Linked DNA regions of Macaca mulatta. The protein of the gene in region 4 interacts with the protein of the main gene of each other region in a pairwise test. Links are inferred from orthologs where the notes say so. Each region holds a gene or a part of one and is shown on either strand. Other genes may lie near its edges.

Region 1 (3,881 bases), about 72 Mb from region 4:
GACGATGCGGAGGTTTCCTGTATTAAAACAGACTACCCCCCCTTCCCAACGCACAACCCCGAGCACGTGGCCGTGGGTTCCCAAGCGCCTCTCCTCCCAGGGCCATGGGCATGACCACCGAAAAGCGGGTTAGGCCGGGGAGTTCAGAACCCGGAGTGAATCGAAACTACCCCAGGTAGATGGCAGCGAAGAAAATTCTGTTCTTAGGGGAACGCAATCTTCGGACACCAGAAGTTCCCCTATGATGCTATTCTGTGGCAGCCTCGCACTTGAGCCGGATGAGAATTGTAAAAACCCAGGTTGGGAGACAGGACGGCGCGTCTTCCCGGCTCCTTTCCAGAGTTTAGACGGAGCCATGCAGACTCAGCTGGCCTTTGGGTGTAGGTGGGCAGGCCCGAGGCGCCCTCTCGAGACCCCTTCAACCTCCCGGGGGCAGCAACACCGTATCGGCTATGAATGGCGTCTCTGGAAAACTCAGGCTTGGAACAGGTAACCCCCCGGTTTCCGCAGGCCAGAAATCAGCCCCCGCAACCGAAGGACGCGCAGGCTGGGAGTGGCGGCGGGGCCGCCAGTGGCGGACCTCCACTGAGGGCGGCGGGACCCGACCGCAGGGGCTGGGCCCTGAGGCCACTATGGGGTGCGCTAGGCTAAGGTCTCCTGGGGGCAGGAGCCAGTGCGATTGTAGCTGGCCAGCAGGCTGGCCGGCCTGAGGCCTGGCAGAGACCCGAGACCCCGACCCTTACCACGCGGACTCCGTGATCCCTCTCCCAGCAGCCGCCCACCTGGGGCCCTGAGCCAATAAGAGCTCGAGGTATATATGACTCACCGTGCCTGGGCCAATCAACTTGACGCGCGCTCTTCGCCAGCACCTCGCGCGATAACCTGGCTTCCTCGGCCTTCACAATAAAAACTCTCCGCCGGAAAACGACCTCTCCCCGCCCACCGCGCCGACACCGGAAGCGAGGCGTGTCTGCGAGATCACTCCGCGCTCCGGCGGCGAAGGAAAGAACGGACTCTGATCATAGAAGTCTAGTAAAGTAGTGCACCTCTCTCGTTTCGTGAGGTCATAAGAACAAACACCTTTTCTCGTCACAGCTACGCGCTGGGCATAAACGGTTGGGGCGTCAAAGGGAGGGAAACGAGCGGGCGGGAGGAGATGGTCACGTGGCCGTGGCGGAAGGATGCGTCGGTGCTGCGTCCCCTTAGAGACGAAGTCTATAAAGGGCCGGCGGGCGGCTGCTGCGGCCATTTCTACTTCGTCCGCCCACAAATGTAGTTTGGTTTGCACGTGTGCGCCTTCCCTCCTCCCCGCCCGCAGGGTCCACGGCCACCATGGCGTATTAGGGGCAGCAGTGCCTGCGGCAGCATTGGCCTTTGCAGCGGCGGCAGCAGCACCAGGCTCTGCAGCGGCACCCCCCCCAGCGGCTTAAGCCATGGCGTGAGTACCAGGGCGGGTCGTCCAGCTGTGCTCCCTGGGCCGGCGCAGGATTTGGGTTGGTGGGGTGCGGCCTGGGGCCGGGGCGGTGCCGCCAAGGAGGAAGCGATTTTACGAGCGCCCGGGACGCGTGGTCTTTGCTTGGGTGTCCCCGAGACGCTCGCGTGCCCGGGATCGGGAAGGCGCATTCTGGTGCCAGGACTGCTTCCACAGGGGCCCTGCCGCCCTCGGACCCCGAGTCCCCCAAGGGTCCCAGGGGTCTCGGCTTTCCCCCCCGCGAAACGTGGCAAGAACCAAGATGGCGGCGGCAGGGCGGCGCCGCGGGCGTGAGTCAAGGGCGGGCGGTGGGCGGGGCGCGGCCGCCCTGGCCTTATTTGGACGCGGGGACGGAGCGCCTTCCTCTTGGTGGCCGGTGGAAGAATCGCCTGGTCTCCGTGAGCGTCCATTTTGTGGAACCTGAGCCGCAGCAGGGAGGGGCGGATGCAACTGCCCCGTTGCCGACTCTATAGATGGCTGGACTAGAGAAGTCCCGCCTCGTAAGTGGAAAGATGAAATTCTCAGACCAGCTAACCTCTAATGGGAGTTGGCTTCTGATTCCCATTCAGGCTTCTCACGGCATTCAGCAGCAGCGTTGCTGTAACCGACAAAGACATCTTCGAATTAAGCACATTCCTCGATTCCAGCAAAGCACCGCAACATGACCGAAATGAGCTTCCTGAGCAGCGAGGTGTTGGTGGGGGACTTGATGTCCCCCTTCGACCAGTCGGGTTTGGGGGCTGAAGAAAGCCTAGGTCTCTTAGATGACTACCTGGAGGTGGCCAAGCACTTCAAACCTCATGGGTTCTCCAGCGACAAGGCTAAGGCGGGCTCCTCCGAATGGCTGGCTGTGGATGGGTTGGTCAGTCCCTCCAACAACGGCAAGGGTGAGTGGGCCACCACCACATCGTCTGGGTGGGATCTAGGGTTAGGGGCCTGTTATCTTTGTATCTGACTCACTTGGCCCTGTCATTCAAATCTTTTGCAGAGGATGCCTTCTCCGGGACAGATTGGATGTTGGAGAAAATGGATTTGAAGGAGTTCGACTTTGATGCCCTGTTGGGTATAGATGACCTGGAAACCATGCCAGATGACCTTTTGACCACGTTGGATGACACGTGTGATCTCTTTGCCCCCCTAGTCCAGGAGACTAACAAGGAGCCCCCACAGACGGTGAACCCAATTGGCCATCTCCCAGAAAGTTTAACAAAACCCGACCAGGTTGCCCCCTTCACCTTCTTGCAACCTCTTCCCCTTTCCCCAGGGGTCCTGTCCTCCACTCCAGATCATTCCTTTAGTTTAGAGCTGGGCAGTGAAGTGGATATCACTGAAGGAGATAGGAAGCCAGATGCCACTGCTTATGTTGCCATGATCCCTCCGTGCATAAAGGAGGAAGACACCCCCTCAGATAATGATAGTGGCATCTGTATGAGCCCGGAGTCCTATCTGGGCTCTCCTCAGCATAGCCCGTCTACCAGGGGCTCTCCAAATAGGAGCCTCCCATCTCCAGGTGTTCTCTGTGGCTCTGCCCGCCCCAAACCTTACGACCCTCCTGGAGAGAAGATGGTAGAAGCAAAAGTAAAGGGTGAGAAACTGGATAAGAAGCTGAAAAAAATGGAGCAAAACAAGACAGCAGCCACTAGGTACCGCCAGAAGAAGAGGGCGGAGCAGGAGGCCCTCACTGGCGAGTGCAAAGAGCTGGAAAAGAAGAATGAGGCTTTAAAAGAGAGGGCGGATTCCCTGGCCAAGGAGATCCAGTACCTGAAAGATTTGATAGAAGAGGTCCGCAAGGCAAGGGGGAAGAAAAGGGTCCCCTAGTTGAGGGTAGTCAGGAGCGTCAGTGTGCTTGTACATAGAGTCTCTGCTGTTGCTGTGTGTTGGAATAAATTATTTTGTAGGGAAAGTACTTGTGTGAATTCCTTTTCTGGCAAATTAGCCGAGTGAGGCGCCAACCACGCATCCCAAACTGGTTATAACATTCCTTGTGAGATCTGGGGAGGAGGGCAGTCCAGGACTGAAGATGGGTACCCAGAGTGGGAACTGCTCGCCCTGCTAGGTGTAAGCCACGATGTCTGATGACTCATGGGGCCATACAGCCGGATAGTTGGCCAACTGTAGCAAGTTGGGTCCTTTACCCAGAGGTGAGTTCGCTGGTTGTGTAGGGAGGAGGCTGGAGCTCTCTGAGAGGTTGGGAGGGAGGGACAGCCTGGGCCTCTTACCTATTTATTCAAGAGGGCTTCATGCCAACAGCTGTCGCCTGAAACCCTGGATAAGCTTGCACAGTCCTTGAGATAAGCACACAAGATTAGTTTTCACTTGTTACCCTGAGTTCTGTAGAAACGTGTTCCTGAAGAAAGAAATGGCTCCTTTTCGGAATTGATGCTGAAGCAGGACAGGAGCTGAGGGTTGG
Region 2 (4,347 bases), about 71 Mb from region 4:
GTAGGGTCTGGCCCTATGGGGCTTAGCAGGTATTCTCCCCGTGTGTGGAGACGAGTGATTGTAAGAAATAAAGACACAAAACAAAGAGATAAAGAGAAAACAGCTGGGCCCCGGGGGACCACTACCACCAAGACATGGAGACCAGTAGTGGCCCCAAATGGTTGGGCGCACTGTTATTTATTGCACACAAAACAAGGGGGCAGGGTTAGGAGGGTGAATCGTCCAAGTGATTGATAAGGTCAAGCAAGTAACGTCATCATAGAACAGGGGGCCCTTCCCTACAGGTAGTCAAAGCAGAGAGGGAAGGCAGCGTACGTCAGCGTTTTCTTCTATGCACTTATCAGAAAGATCAAAGACTTCAAGGCTTTCACTATTTCTTCTACCGCTATCTTCTAAGAACGTCAAAGAGGAACCAGGAGTACGTGAGGAACATGAAAGTGGACAAGGAGCGTGACCATTAAAGCACAGCACTACAGGGAGGGGTTAGGCCTCCGGATGACTGCGGGCAGGCCTGGATAAGATCCAGCCTCCCACAAGAAACGGGTGGAGCAGAGCGTTCCCTGACTCCTCCAAGAAAAGGGAGACTCCCTTTCCCGGTCTGCTAAGTAACGGGTGCTCTCTTGGCAGGGGCGTCACCGCTTGACCAAGGAGCCTTCAAGCGGCCCTTACGCAGGTGGGACAGAGGGCTCACCTCTTGTATTCTCGGTCATTTCTCACAACATCCCTTCAGCACTTGACCATATACCCACCAGTTACATAATAATATTGATATTACTCTTAATAAAGGAGTGTAATATTAAAGAGTAATAAAGAGTAATATTAAAAGCTAATGATTAATGTCTATACTAATGATTGATAATGTCCATGATGATCTCTACATCTAATTTGTATTATAACTATTCTTATTGTAAGTATATTCTTTACTATACTGAAACAGTTTGTGCCTTCAGTCTCTTGCCTCAGCACCTGGGTCATCCTCCACCCACACCTCTGAGGGGCTGACCTGCGCCCCACCTTCTGGAAGCTGGGAGGTTGGAAGAGGGAAGGCATGCAATGGACCCAGCACACAGCTGGGAACTTGAGGCACACCTAAGCCTTCACTTGTGCTGTGCGGAGTCCACACTTCCTTCCCCACTGGAGTCTCAAAACCTCCCTCACTCAACAGGGAGGTGCTGCTCCAAGTTCTGGGCACACATTAGGGCTGGGGAGGGGGCGGTGGAGAGGGGGCTCCAGCCTGTCCATCCACCAGACAAGGGGGCACCTGCCCCTCTCTCAGCCTGGTCTGGACCCGCCTCCCAGGCTCTGGCTGCAATGCCTTTCTCTTTCTCTTTCTTTCTCTTTGCAATTCCGTTGGGTCCTGCCCAAGACAGATAAAGACAGAGCAGCCTGTCTTTGTCTGAGCTTCCTCTGCCAGTGGGAGGGGCCAGAAGAAAACCAGAAAGAGGGCCAGAGTCAGAGAAACGTAAAGCACCCCAGGGTCTCCCACACCAGTGCCTGAGCAGGAACGGGGAGGGGCCATGACTCACAAGGCCCTGGGAGGTCACTTTAAAGAGGGCTGCCCAACTGCAAGGACTCTGTAAACGGGAAGAGAAGCCACAGCACTTCAGAAAAGAGTGGGACTGGACAAGCGTATCTAAGAGGCCGAACATGAATCCACAGATCAGGTACCTCTGCCCGCTCTGTCTGCCAGGCCCCTCCTGCCCCTTCCTGCCTGGTGGTCCTGCTGGGTCTCAGCCCTGGCCTCCCCCTGCCCCAGCCCCACCTCTGGGCTCCCTCCCCTCTGTCTCCCCCGCCGCCGACACTCCCAGCCAGGCTCCTTGCCCTGCTGTGTGGTCGCCCCACTGCTGCTTCTGAATGGGCCACCTTCCCCACCTGCACCAGCCCAGGCCCCCTGCTGAGACTCTCCCCAGAAAGTCACCAGCGGGCTGGTGCTCCCCACCCTGGGAGGGTGCTCCCTCTGTGCGCTTCCCACCATTCCTGAGCTCTGGAACTGGGAGAATTGAACCAAAGGATGATTGGGTCAATCCGACATTTTGTTCTCAGCACTTTGATGAAATTTCTGTAAGATTTACTTTGTTTCAATATAAAGTCTTAGGAGAGGGTGTGGGGGAGGGAATGGTCTCTGTACCAGAAAATAAGGCATTTCTTCCAAAGATGCCACCAGTGTGAACAGAGGAGGATGCATATGACCCCAGACACAGGCTCCTCCTTCGTGAGCACCATTCCCCTTTTAAAATGACCCTGGTAACATGGAATGTAGAAAAAATATGATGATTAGGACAAATACCCTTATTTTACCCAGGGCACGGTGGCTTATGCCTGTAATCCTAGCACTTTGGGAGGCTAAGGCGGGTGGATCACTTGTGGTCAGGAGTTCGAGACCAGCCTGGCTAACATGGTGAAAGCCCGTCTCTACTGAAAATACAAAAAATTAGCCAGGCGTGGTGGCGGGCACCTGTAATCCCAGCTACTTGGGAGACTGAGGCAGGAAAATCCCTGAACCCGGGGGCCGGAGGTTGCAGTGAGCCGAGATTGTGCCACTGCACTCCAGCCTGGGGGACAGAGCGAGATGCCATCTTAAAAAAAATAAATAAATAAAGGTAGCCTTGGCCTGGGGAATTCGGTGTGATATCATCATCGGACAGGTGAAATGGGAGGAAGGAACTGAGCTGAAATGTTCAAGCAATTATTTCAGGGTGAAGAATTTTATTGTCTGTTGCATTTTCCTAATGGGTTGGGAGATGTGTGGCAGAAAAACTGGGAGGTTGAGGGTGTCCCATTGGTAGCCCCAGAGCTGGGGTTCCAGATGGGAGAGGTCACTGCAGCCCTGCTGCCCCTGCCAGCATCGCCTCCTCTTTCTCTCTCCCAGTCTTCCTGCCTGGGAAAGCAGCAGACATTCTCAGGACTGCGGAGGGATGGGGGAGGCCCAGAGCCCAGGGCCGTCTAGGGAGTGGTGTTCAGTGGGCATCAGCCCCCAGGACTCCGGCGGGGGGGGTCTCTGCATTGGGGTTTCTCTCTTGTGCCCTCAGAAACCCGATGAAGGCAATGGATCCAGGCACATTCTACTTCCAATTTAAAAACCTATGGGAAGCCAACAATCGGAACGAAACCTGGCTGTGCTTCACCGTGGAAGTTATAAAGCAGCACTCAACTGTCTCCTGGGAGACGGGCGTCTTCCGAAACCAGGTAGCACCAAAGTCTTAGTTGCACCCCAAATAGGAGCTAAGCAGCTGGGAATGCAGAAAACACAATAAGTGACGTGCCTGGTGCGGGCTCTCCTGTGTGTACTTTCTTGCCACATGTCTTTTTTTTTTTTCTTTTTTCTTTCTTTTTTTTTTTTTTTTTTTTTGATATGGAGTCTCGCTCTGTTACCCAGACTGGAATGCAGTGGCGCTATCTCAGCTCACGGCAACCTCTGCTTCCTGGGTTCAAGTGAGTCTCCTGCCTCAGTCTCCCAAGTAGCTGGGATTACAGGTGCCTGCCACCACACCCAGCTAATTTTTTTGTATTTTTAGTACAAATGGGATTTCACCATGTTGGCCAGGCTGGTTTCAAACTCCTGACCTCAAGTGATCCACCAGCCTTGGCCTCCCAAAGTGCTAGGATTACAGGCGTGAGACACCATGTCTGGCCTCCTCCCCACATTTTTTAAGTCCGTGGCCCAGATCTTCCTCCCTGACTCTCCTGTGATCAGATTGTGGAGGGGTTTTGCTTCTTCCCAAAAGGCCTTGTTTAGCACCCAGCACCCTCACTCTTGACTTTGTTCCCCAAAATCTTGTCATGGAGCTGTACATCCGGCAGTCCTCGGGAAACAGCAGCTGTGGGAAGCAGGGGGTGTGGTGTCCAGCTCTGTGTCTGGGCCAGTCACTGCTGGGCTCGTGGGGCCGCCCCTGCCACTGCCCTGATTCCTCAGCAGAAGGCAGGCAGGGACCAAGGCAGACCCCAGAGGGCCAGGCCATAGCAGGGGCTGAGGATGCCTGGTGAATGGATAGCTGGGAGAAAATATGGCAGAATTCACACATAAGTCTATGAGACAGGGAAAGACTCAATAAAATAAAGAAGGAAGGGGCCGGGCACGGTGCAGTGGCTCATGCCTGTAATCCCAGCACTTTGGGAGGCTGAGGCAGGCAGATCATGAGGTCAGGGATTCGAGACCAGCCTGGCTAACATGATGAAACCCCATCTCTACTAAAAATACAAAGATTAGCCAGGTGTGGAGGTGCATGCCTATAATCCCAGCTACTCAGGAGGCTGAGGCAGGAGAATCGCTTGAACCTGGGAGGCAGAGGTTGCAGTGAGCCAAGATTGTGCCACTGCACTCCAGCCTGGGTGGCAGAGCAAGACTCC
Region 3 (3,988 bases), on a different chromosome or scaffold from region 4:
GATGTCTGAATCCCTGCCAGGGGATGGGGCCTGGGCACCCATCATTTGGAACGGAAGATGAGGATGGCCGGAAACAGACACTTCAGAGGAATGAGGGAGACAGAAGAACGACAGCAAGAGTTAGACAGTCCAACGTCTGCGGCTCTTGTAAGGGGGAAAGAAGAAGTGAGGCTGGGCCCCAATAAAATATGTTGAGGCCGGGCGCGGTGGCTCACGCCTGTAAGCCCAGCACTTTGGGAGGCCGAGGCGGGCCGATCATGAAGTCAGGAGATCGAGACCATCCTGGCTAACAAGGTGAAACCTCGTCTCTACTAAAAATACAAAAAATTAGCCGGGCGTGGTGGCGGGCGCCTGTAATCCTAGCTACTCTGGAGGCTGAGGCAGGAGAATGGCGTGAACTCGGCGGAGTTTGCAGTGAGCCGAGATCGCGCCACTGCACTCCAGCCTGGGCGACAGAGACCGAGAGACGTCATCTCACCAAAAAAAAAAAAAAAAAAAAAATTGAACAGGAACGTATGAGTTGAACTCTGTGCATAAGGCTTGCCAGACACCGTCTTGAGTTTCATAAACCCACCAGGAGAGCTGATTTTTCTTATTTTACGGATAGGGAAATGAAGCAAGAGAACTTAAGCTATTTGCCCGAGGCCATCCTGGTAGGTCTGTGTTTGGGAGAGTGCTGTGACTCACGCTGGACTCTAACCCACGAGGGTTTCTCGGGGTCAGCAGTTGGGGGATGAAAACATGAAAAGTGTGGCTGGCAGGAAATTCTGCAAGCAGGGAAAGGGAAACAGAAATTAAATGGTGCAGGTCTCCGGGAAGAGAATGAGACTGGATCCACAAAATCACAGGAGGAAGCAGGCCCAGACCTCACAGGCAGAAAAAGAAAGAAACCAGAGTTTAGGAGGAAACCAGACCCCGGAGCTACGAGAGGGCCGGATCCCTGGCTCAAAAGGGAGGAGGGGCCTGGACCCTAGGAGTGGGAAGGAAGAGGTCGGATCCCCTGATCCCCAGGAGGAGGGGACCGGGCTGCCACCCAGTTGGGGCCCCGCGAGGGCGGGGCGCGGAAGGATCCGGGCGGGCCATGCTGCGCCACCCGAAGTATTTCTGTCCCCAGTCCCCGGGGCCGCCTCATTCCCCGTCCTCAGATCACGGTCTCTTCTAACTACAGCGTTCTCCGCCTCCGCCTGCGTAGCCCCAGCCATGGCTCTGTAGCCTCGACCCCTTTGTGCCCCCAGCCCGACTCCGCGCTTACCACGCCTGCGCTCTCCGCTCCCACCTTCTTTCTTCAGCCGAGGCCGCCGCCGCCTCTCCTTTCTGCAGCCATGGAGTGAGTAACCGCTTACTTGTCCCTCTCCAACCGCCTTTCCCGCCCTTTCGCAGCTCGTGGCCCTCTTTAGGGAGCCCTGGGGGGAGGGGAGCTGCGAGCGGGGAATCACGGTCGCGCAGGCGCAGAAGAGGTACGGTGGGCCGAAGGCGCGCGGCTGCGCATGCGCACTGGGCCCGGAGCCGGGTGGGAGAGTTCTAGAGACTCGATGTTTGTCAGCCGGCGTGTGGCTGCGCCTGCGCACTCCAAGGGAGGGTGTGGTCTTTTTCTAAACGATTCTGTGCGTGCTTGGTTGTTCCTGCGCAGTAGCCTACCAGTGCCCCGTAATGAATGAGCGCGGGCCCTGAGTGTCCGCGCATGCGCACTGATCCCCAAGAAGGCGGAGGTGTAAAGCAATTGGACAGCTCGGAAGACGTAGCATGCGCTTTGGCCCTTGGCGCATAGCCGCGTGTGGACGGCTGGCGTTCGGGTAGCAGTTCTCTGCCTGCCCCCTCTACCCTCCTCCACCCTCCCTGCTCCACGTTGCTCTGGCTCACAGCCCAACTTCCTTCCTTTTAAACCAGGCACCTGCTGAGGCGGGGACTGGCTTAGATTGACAGGGGAGAAGGCGGGGCTTAGAGGCAGCCCTCTAAGTGGGTGGGGCTAGAACCACTGTCGTCACGATGGGTGGGATTTCGTGAGCCCATTGTGAGAAGGGGCGGGGCTAAGCCAACCTTTAGCTGAGGGGTGGGGCTTCGATGGGACAAAGAGGCGGGGCCTCTGGGGAATCGGAGAGGGGCGGAGCTAAATAAACAATGAGGGGCGGGGCTTGGAGGGACAGTGGCAAAGCGAGGAGTGGGATTTGAGTGGATAACATTGCTGAAGGGCTGGGGCCTGGGGCAGTTCCCCTGGGCACTGGTTTGGGATGGAAGCTAGGAAGGCAGTGGGGCCAAAAGGAAATATTTTAGGGCAAGGGGCGTGGCTGGAAGAAAATGTCCCTGGAATTGAGTTTTTCCATGAAGCGGAATATTCTGAGGTGGATGGGAGGGGCCTAAGGTAATTCCCCTGGGAGACCCTTAGGTTTCTGTATTGGGGGAAAGGGTGGGGCATCGGTCCTACCTTAGGACCTAAAGAAATTCCCTTGGGAGTGGGTGGGGCTCAGATTTGGGTAAAGAAAGGGCAAATTTAGAATTCGGAGAGGCTGAGGCTTAGTTATAAACTGTGGTTGGAAGGGGGAGGGAGGAGCCCCGTGGACGTGCCTGGGGGTGTGGCTTGGCTTCCCCATGATTTTGGCCGGTGGATGAGGCTTTCCTGACCCCACGACCCCACCCACTCTTGTCTCACACGTGTAGGTCTTCCACTTTCGCCTTGGTGCCTGTCTTCATCCAGCTGAGCATCCTCCAGAGCCTCGTCCCAGCTGCTGGTGCAGCCGCTCCTGTTGCCATCAGTGCCCTGCACCTGTGCTACAGCGCCCTGCACCTGTGCTACAGCCATGTCACTCCTGGCCACCCTGGGGCTGGAGCTGGACAGGACCCTGCTCCCAGCTAGTGGGCTGGGATGGCTCGTAGACTATGGGAAACTCCCCCCTGCCCCTGCCCCCGTGGCTCCTTATGAGGTCCTTGGGGGAGCCCTGGAGGGCGGGCTTCCAGTGGGGGGAGAGCCCCTGGCAGGTAAGGGCAGGTGGAAGGTGGAGCAGGGGAGTGGAGGGCAGGGGAAGATGGGGGAGGAAAAACTCATCCATGTATTCATTAAATGTTGAGTGCCTACAATGTGCCAGGCACTGTTTTAGGTGCTGAGGATACAGCTGGAAACAAGAAGAACATGGTCTGTGCCCTCCAGCAGCTCATACTGTGGAGAGTAGACCAGAGGCAAATTAAATGAGAGTGTATTGGAATAAGTCAGAAACACTTAGCAGCTGAGCTACAAAATGACAAAGGGGACCTAATTCAGAGTGGGTAGCCAGAAAACTTTCTCTAAGTAGGTAACATGTTGATGGAGGCATAAAGGATGGGAAGGAAGCCAGGCGTGGTGGCCTGTAATCCCAGCACTGTGGGAGGCTGAGGAGGGAGAATTGCTTTAGTCCAGGAGTTCAGGACCTGGGCAACATAGCAAGGCCTCATATCTATAGGGAAAAAAAAAAAAAAAAATTAGCCAGGCATGGTGGCGCATGCCTGTACTCCCAGCTACTTAGGAGTCTGAGGTGGGAGGATCGCTTGAGCCTGGGAGGCCTAGGCTGCAGTGAGCCAAGATGATGCCACTGCACTGCAGCCTGGGCAACAGAGTGAAATCTTATCCCTTAAAAAAAAAAAAAAAAAAGGAAAGGAATGAGCCAGGAAAACACCCAAGGGAAGAGCATTTTAGTTGGAGGGAACTGCATACGCAGAAGCCCTCAGGAGGCAGGAATCATTGTATTCATTACTGTATCCCAAATGCTTGGCACATCGTGGGTTTTCAGTAATTAATGAGTAAAGATGAAACAAGGTGTATCTGTGTGTAATGTGATCTAGTTTGCCTTTTAAGAACAGAGTAAATACAGACACCACAGATACAGAGTACTCAGTAAAGGAGATGTTGGAATGGTTGAAGAAATGCTTAATTGACTGTTGGTTGAGTCACTGGTTGGTTGGCTGGTTCTGTCTTTTTTAATTTCTTTTTTTATTTTTTAATTTTTTTTTCCCCTGGACC
Region 4 (4,246 bases):
TCAAACTGTCGCCCAGGCTGGAGTGCAATGGCACGGTCTTAGCTCATTGCAATTCCCACCTCCCAGGTTCAAGCAATTCTCCTGCCTCAGCCTCCCGAGTAGCTGGGACTACAGGCGTGTTTTTTGTATTTTTAGTAATTTTTTGTACTTTTAGTAGAGACGGGTTTCACCGTGTTAGCCAGGATGGTCTTGATCTCCTGACCTCATGATCCACCTGCCTCAGCCTCCCAAAGTGCTGGTATTACAGGCGTGAGCCACCACGTCTGGCCTCTAGAGGAGTTATTTATTTATTTATTTATTTATGACACAGGATCTCACTCTGTCACCCAAGCTGGAGTGCAGTGGCACAATCATGTTTCACTGTAACCTGAACTCCTGGGCTCAAGTGATCCTCCTACCTCAGCTTACCAAGTAGCTGGGACCGCAAGCTCACACCACCATGCCCACTATTTTTTTCTCTTTGTAAAGACAGGGACTTACTACGTCGCCCAGGCTGTTCTTAAACTCCTGGCCTCAAGCAATCCTCCCGTCTTGGCCTCTCAAAGTGCTAGGATTACAGACATGAGCCAGCTCGCCCAGCTGAGGAGTTATATTTTGACACTAGTGAATTCAGATCAAAAGGGATTTCTAAGAAAGGTGCTGGACCCCTGGGACGCAGAGGGATGTTTCACCCCAAAGGAAGTAGCACCAAGCCCTCCCAGGCCTAGGGTGCAAGCATATTAAAGGCCTCTTTCCCTCTCTGTCTCCATTGTCTACACTCCATTGAGCATCCGAAATGTGCCACACACTGTTCTAAGCGTCTTACACATATTACATTATTTAATCCTCACAATAACTTTATGAAGTGAGCACAATTATGAGCCCATTTTATTGAAAAGGAAATTGAGGCAGGGTTTTAGGTAGCTTTTCTGGGGTAGCACTGTGGGTTGGAGGGGAAGGTGGAGTGCACTCTTAGGCCAGCTGGCTCTAGGGGCTCTTCGCCACTAGGCCGCACTGCCTCTAGCAAAGGAACGCGGGGAAGCTCACCAGACCTTAGGCCTCCCCAGGGTGCCACAGTGGTTCTTTTGAGCCCAGAGTCAGCTCTTAGGTCCATAGGCCTTCCTGAAGCTTCTGGACCACTTGCCCACAGCTGGGCCTCAGGCTGGCTCTCAGTAGAAGGGGGAGAATGGAGATTGCCAGATGTCCACTTCTCCTAAAGGTTTTATAAGGCGGTGCTGGTAATGTGCTTTACAAAAGGGGAAGCACCCGGACAACAGTCACTGTTTGCTCTTTTGAGCACCATCCCGAGAAGGAGGAATGTTCTTCCCATTTCATAGGTGGGGAAAGTAAGGCTCAGAAAAGCAAATGTTTTTTTCCAAGGTGATAGGGAGAGTCCGTGGCTGGTGTCTGCACTGAGACCAGACAACCCTAGTGGGCCAACAAGGGCGGGGTCCCCAGGTGCAGCGGAGGAGAGAGGCCCTGGCGGAGCGCGCCCTGGCGGCGACCCGGAGAGGCGGGGCGCGGGGATGGTGCAATCCTGGGCCTGAGGGCATCAGACGGCGGCTGATTAGCTCAGGTTTACATCACCCAGGCTGGGAGCCGGGAGCGCACGAGACTCGCAGCGGAAGTGGGGGCGGCTCCGCACACGTCCGCTGTTAGGACCCGGGCCGGGCTGGAGCTGGACCGGGATCCCGAGCTCGGCAGCAGCGAAGCGGGCCGGCCCACCTGCTGGTACCCTAGAGGCTCTGAGCACCGGCGGCGCCAGGACCCACGCGGGACGGCAGGACAAGGTACTCGGCGGGGTGCGGACTGTGGACTTGCCCGGAGCCTGGGGGATTGGAGCGGGCGGCCGGGGAAGGGGCGCCGGGAGGCTCTGCGCCTCTGCGTGTTGCTGCGTGTTACGCGCGCACACACACAACACCCCTTTTAACAGACTCTGCCGTCGGGGGACACCCTGGGCCTAGTGCTCCCCCCGGGCTTCAGGTGACGCGGCCCCGCAGGGCGTGGGGTCGCCCGAGTTTGGCTGGGGAAGCCAGGGACGGAGGTGTCCGGCTGTCACCCCTAGAGGAGGGTGTGCGAGGGTCTGTTTTGCGTGAGTGTGGGACAGGGGAGTCGTGTGGTGAGGTGAGGGGCTTGTGGGGGGCACTGGAGGACTCTTTATGGGGGTGTCGGAGGATCTGCGGGGGATCTGCGGGGGTCCTCGGGAACCCGTAGGAGAGAGTTCTGGGTGAGGGTGGGTCCCGGGGACCTGTGCCTCCGGGGATGGTGAGAACTGTCTGGAGGGCTGGGCACTTGGTGGCAGGGGTTGGAGGTGCAGGGGACACGGCCGGGAGAGGGCTGGGTGGGGTGCCCTGGGAGCGAACTGAGCGAGTGGTGCGGGAGCCGAACGAGTGGGAGCGAAGTCGCAGCGCGGGATCCCCGGCCGGGCAGCGCCGCTGGTTTTTCCCGCTGCGTGGCTCCGGGTTTGCAGGTGGAAGGTGCGCGTGTGTTTGCGGTGTGTGCTGTGCCTGCAGACCGGGGAGGGCGGGGGACGACAGCCACCTCTTTCCCTCTGCCTCACCCCCTCCTGTCCCAGGGCCGCCCTTCAATTTCCGCTGAAACTTCTGACTGGGACACCGCCGCCTTTCGCTTTCGCTCCCGCTGAAGGGGGCCTGGCTGCGGGGGGCGGGGCGGGGGGTGGTGGGGCCGGCCTTGCTTGTGTAGACCATGGGTGTGATAGCTGGGAGGGCTGTGTGTGTGTGTGTGCGCGCTAACGCTTACCCGTGGAGGGCAAGGGTGTGTCACTTAATGTCTGTCTTCCCTGGATGTGTTGTCGCTGGCTGGCTTAGACAGTGTCTCAGGGGTGTGTGTACACCTGTGAGCGCGCGCACGCTTGATGTAACCCGCCCTCATTTCCCTGGGTCTCGAGTATGGCAGGAAACAGCAAGAGGTAGATATTAGGGGCTGCTTTCATTCCACAGCACAGATTCTATTCTGCAGTGTGGTCTGCAAAATGCCTTGCCCAAGATTTATAGACTCAGTTACCCCATCTGTCCCCATCTGGGTGGAGCTTATCCCAGGCCCCAACAGGCTCTGAGGGATGACTGGGGCCAAGGCAGCCTGGAGTACTGATGTGGCACAGGCCAGAGGGACTTCAGGCAGTCTCCTGCTGCACAGGGCACAAAGCATGTGCACGGCCAGGTAGCATCCTGCGGGACTCAGAACAGCCTTGAGACTGTTCTGTCATCCCAGCCTCGAACCTGGGGAGCTTTCTAAGACTCCCAAGGATGGTACTTAAGCATCTTGCTGTGAAGAACAACAGGATGAGTGCTAATAGTGACCATTTCCTGACACCTACCCTGCAACAGGTCTATAAGCTCTACGTGCTTCATTTGTTTTTTCATTTCATCATCACTAAAAACCTGTAAACTTTGCATCCTGTTCCCACTTTACAGGAACTGAGGCTCAGAAAGCTTGAGGAACTTGACCAGGGGTACCCCCCAGCTAGAAAGGGTCTGAGACAGGATTAGAACCCAGGAATATCTGACTAAGCCACTCCTTACTGCGTTCTTACCAAGCCAAAGTCATGACCTTTCACTCATGTGGGGAGACCTTCCCTTCCAAGGCAGCTCTTCCGTTTAGGAGCCGCGTACTTGGAGAGGTGGGCCTCTGTCTGGTAACTGACTCATGTTTCCCTGTTCATCCTGCCTTGAACTGTTGGGAAGGTCTTTCACCAGGCTGAGGTCCCTCTCGCACCAGTGCTCAGACCTGGGCATGCACATCCTTGGAATGGAGTTTAAGTGGGTGGGCAGATGGGTTCTAGAGAGAACCTTCCTGCCCTGACATGCCCTACTGCCCTCTCCTTCAGCCACCCCACACACAGTCACACAGCTGCGTGGATGGTGGCTTTCTTTTCATTTAACAGTTCACTCTGGAGATCCTTTCGATTAGGCTATAAACAGCGTCCTCAACCTTTTAAATGGCTGCAAATTTTTCCGTTGTGTGGATGAAGTATAATTTATGTAACTAGCCCTGTAATTATAGACAGCAAATTATTTCTGTCACAAGGGCTGCAGGATAACTTTGTATTTGCATGCTTACACAAGCACACTTCTACAGGATACATTCTAGCAATGGGATTAATTGCTGAATCAAAACTCACACACTTCATTTTTTTTGTTTGTTTGTCTTTTTGAGACATTCTCACTTTGTCACCCAGGCTAGAGTGCCTAACCATGGCTCACTGAAGTCTTTACCTTCTGGGGTCAAGTGATTCCCCTACTTCAAC

The links.
Region 1: the proteins of TRIB3 (region 4) and ATF4 interact in binary tests that used the Homo sapiens proteins (3 or more experiments, as listed by UniProt). The link is inferred for Macaca mulatta from reciprocal best matches to the Homo sapiens genes TRIB3 and ATF4.
Region 2: the proteins of TRIB3 (region 4) and APOBEC3C interact in binary tests that used the Homo sapiens proteins (3 or more experiments, as listed by UniProt). The link is inferred for Macaca mulatta from reciprocal best matches to the Homo sapiens genes TRIB3 and APOBEC3C.
Region 3: the proteins of TRIB3 (region 4) and ATF5 interact in a two-hybrid assay, tested with the Homo sapiens proteins (2 studies listed by BioGRID and IntAct). The link is inferred for Macaca mulatta from reciprocal best matches to the Homo sapiens genes TRIB3 and ATF5.

Annotation. Positions count from the first base shown.
Region 1 is NC_133415.1:12,021,348-12,025,228, reverse strand, and holds ATF4 (cyclic AMP-dependent transcription factor ATF-4), read left to right. Parts: upstream 1-1,458; 5' UTR 1,459-2,132; coding exon 2,133-2,358; intron 2,359-2,459; coding exon 2,460-3,289; 3' UTR 3,290-3,372; downstream 3,373-3,881. UniProt on the Homo sapiens protein: Transcription factor that binds the cAMP response element (CRE) (consensus: 5'-GTGACGT[AC][AG]-3') and displays two biological functions, as regulator of metabolic and redox processes under normal cellular conditions, and as master transcription factor during integrated stress response (ISR).
Region 2 is NC_133415.1:12,545,049-12,549,395, reverse strand, and holds the start of APOBEC3C (DNA dC->dU-editing enzyme APOBEC-3C), read left to right. Parts: upstream 1-1,539; 5' UTR 1,540-1,647; coding exon 1,648-1,664; exon of another isoform or gene 1,665-2,386; intron 2,387-3,029; coding exon 3,030-3,186; intron 3,187-3,622; exon of another isoform or gene 3,623-3,992; intron 3,993-4,347.
Region 3 is NC_133424.1:62,391,957-62,395,944, forward strand, and holds the start of ATF5 (cyclic AMP-dependent transcription factor ATF-5), read left to right. Parts: upstream 1-1,130; 5' UTR 1,131-1,327; exon of another isoform or gene 1,328-1,461; intron 1,462-1,626; exon of another isoform or gene 1,627-1,793; intron 1,794-2,171; exon of another isoform or gene 2,172-2,359; intron 2,360-2,655; 5' UTR 2,656-2,795; coding exon 2,796-2,973; intron 2,974-3,988.
Region 4 is NC_133415.1:83,776,382-83,780,627, reverse strand, and holds the start of TRIB3 (tribbles homolog 3), read left to right. Parts: upstream 1-1,436; 5' UTR 1,437-1,769; intron 1,770-4,246. UniProt on the Homo sapiens protein: Inactive protein kinase which acts as a regulator of the integrated stress response (ISR), a process for adaptation to various stress. Inhibits the transcriptional activity of DDIT3/CHOP and is involved in DDIT3/CHOP-dependent cell death during ER stress.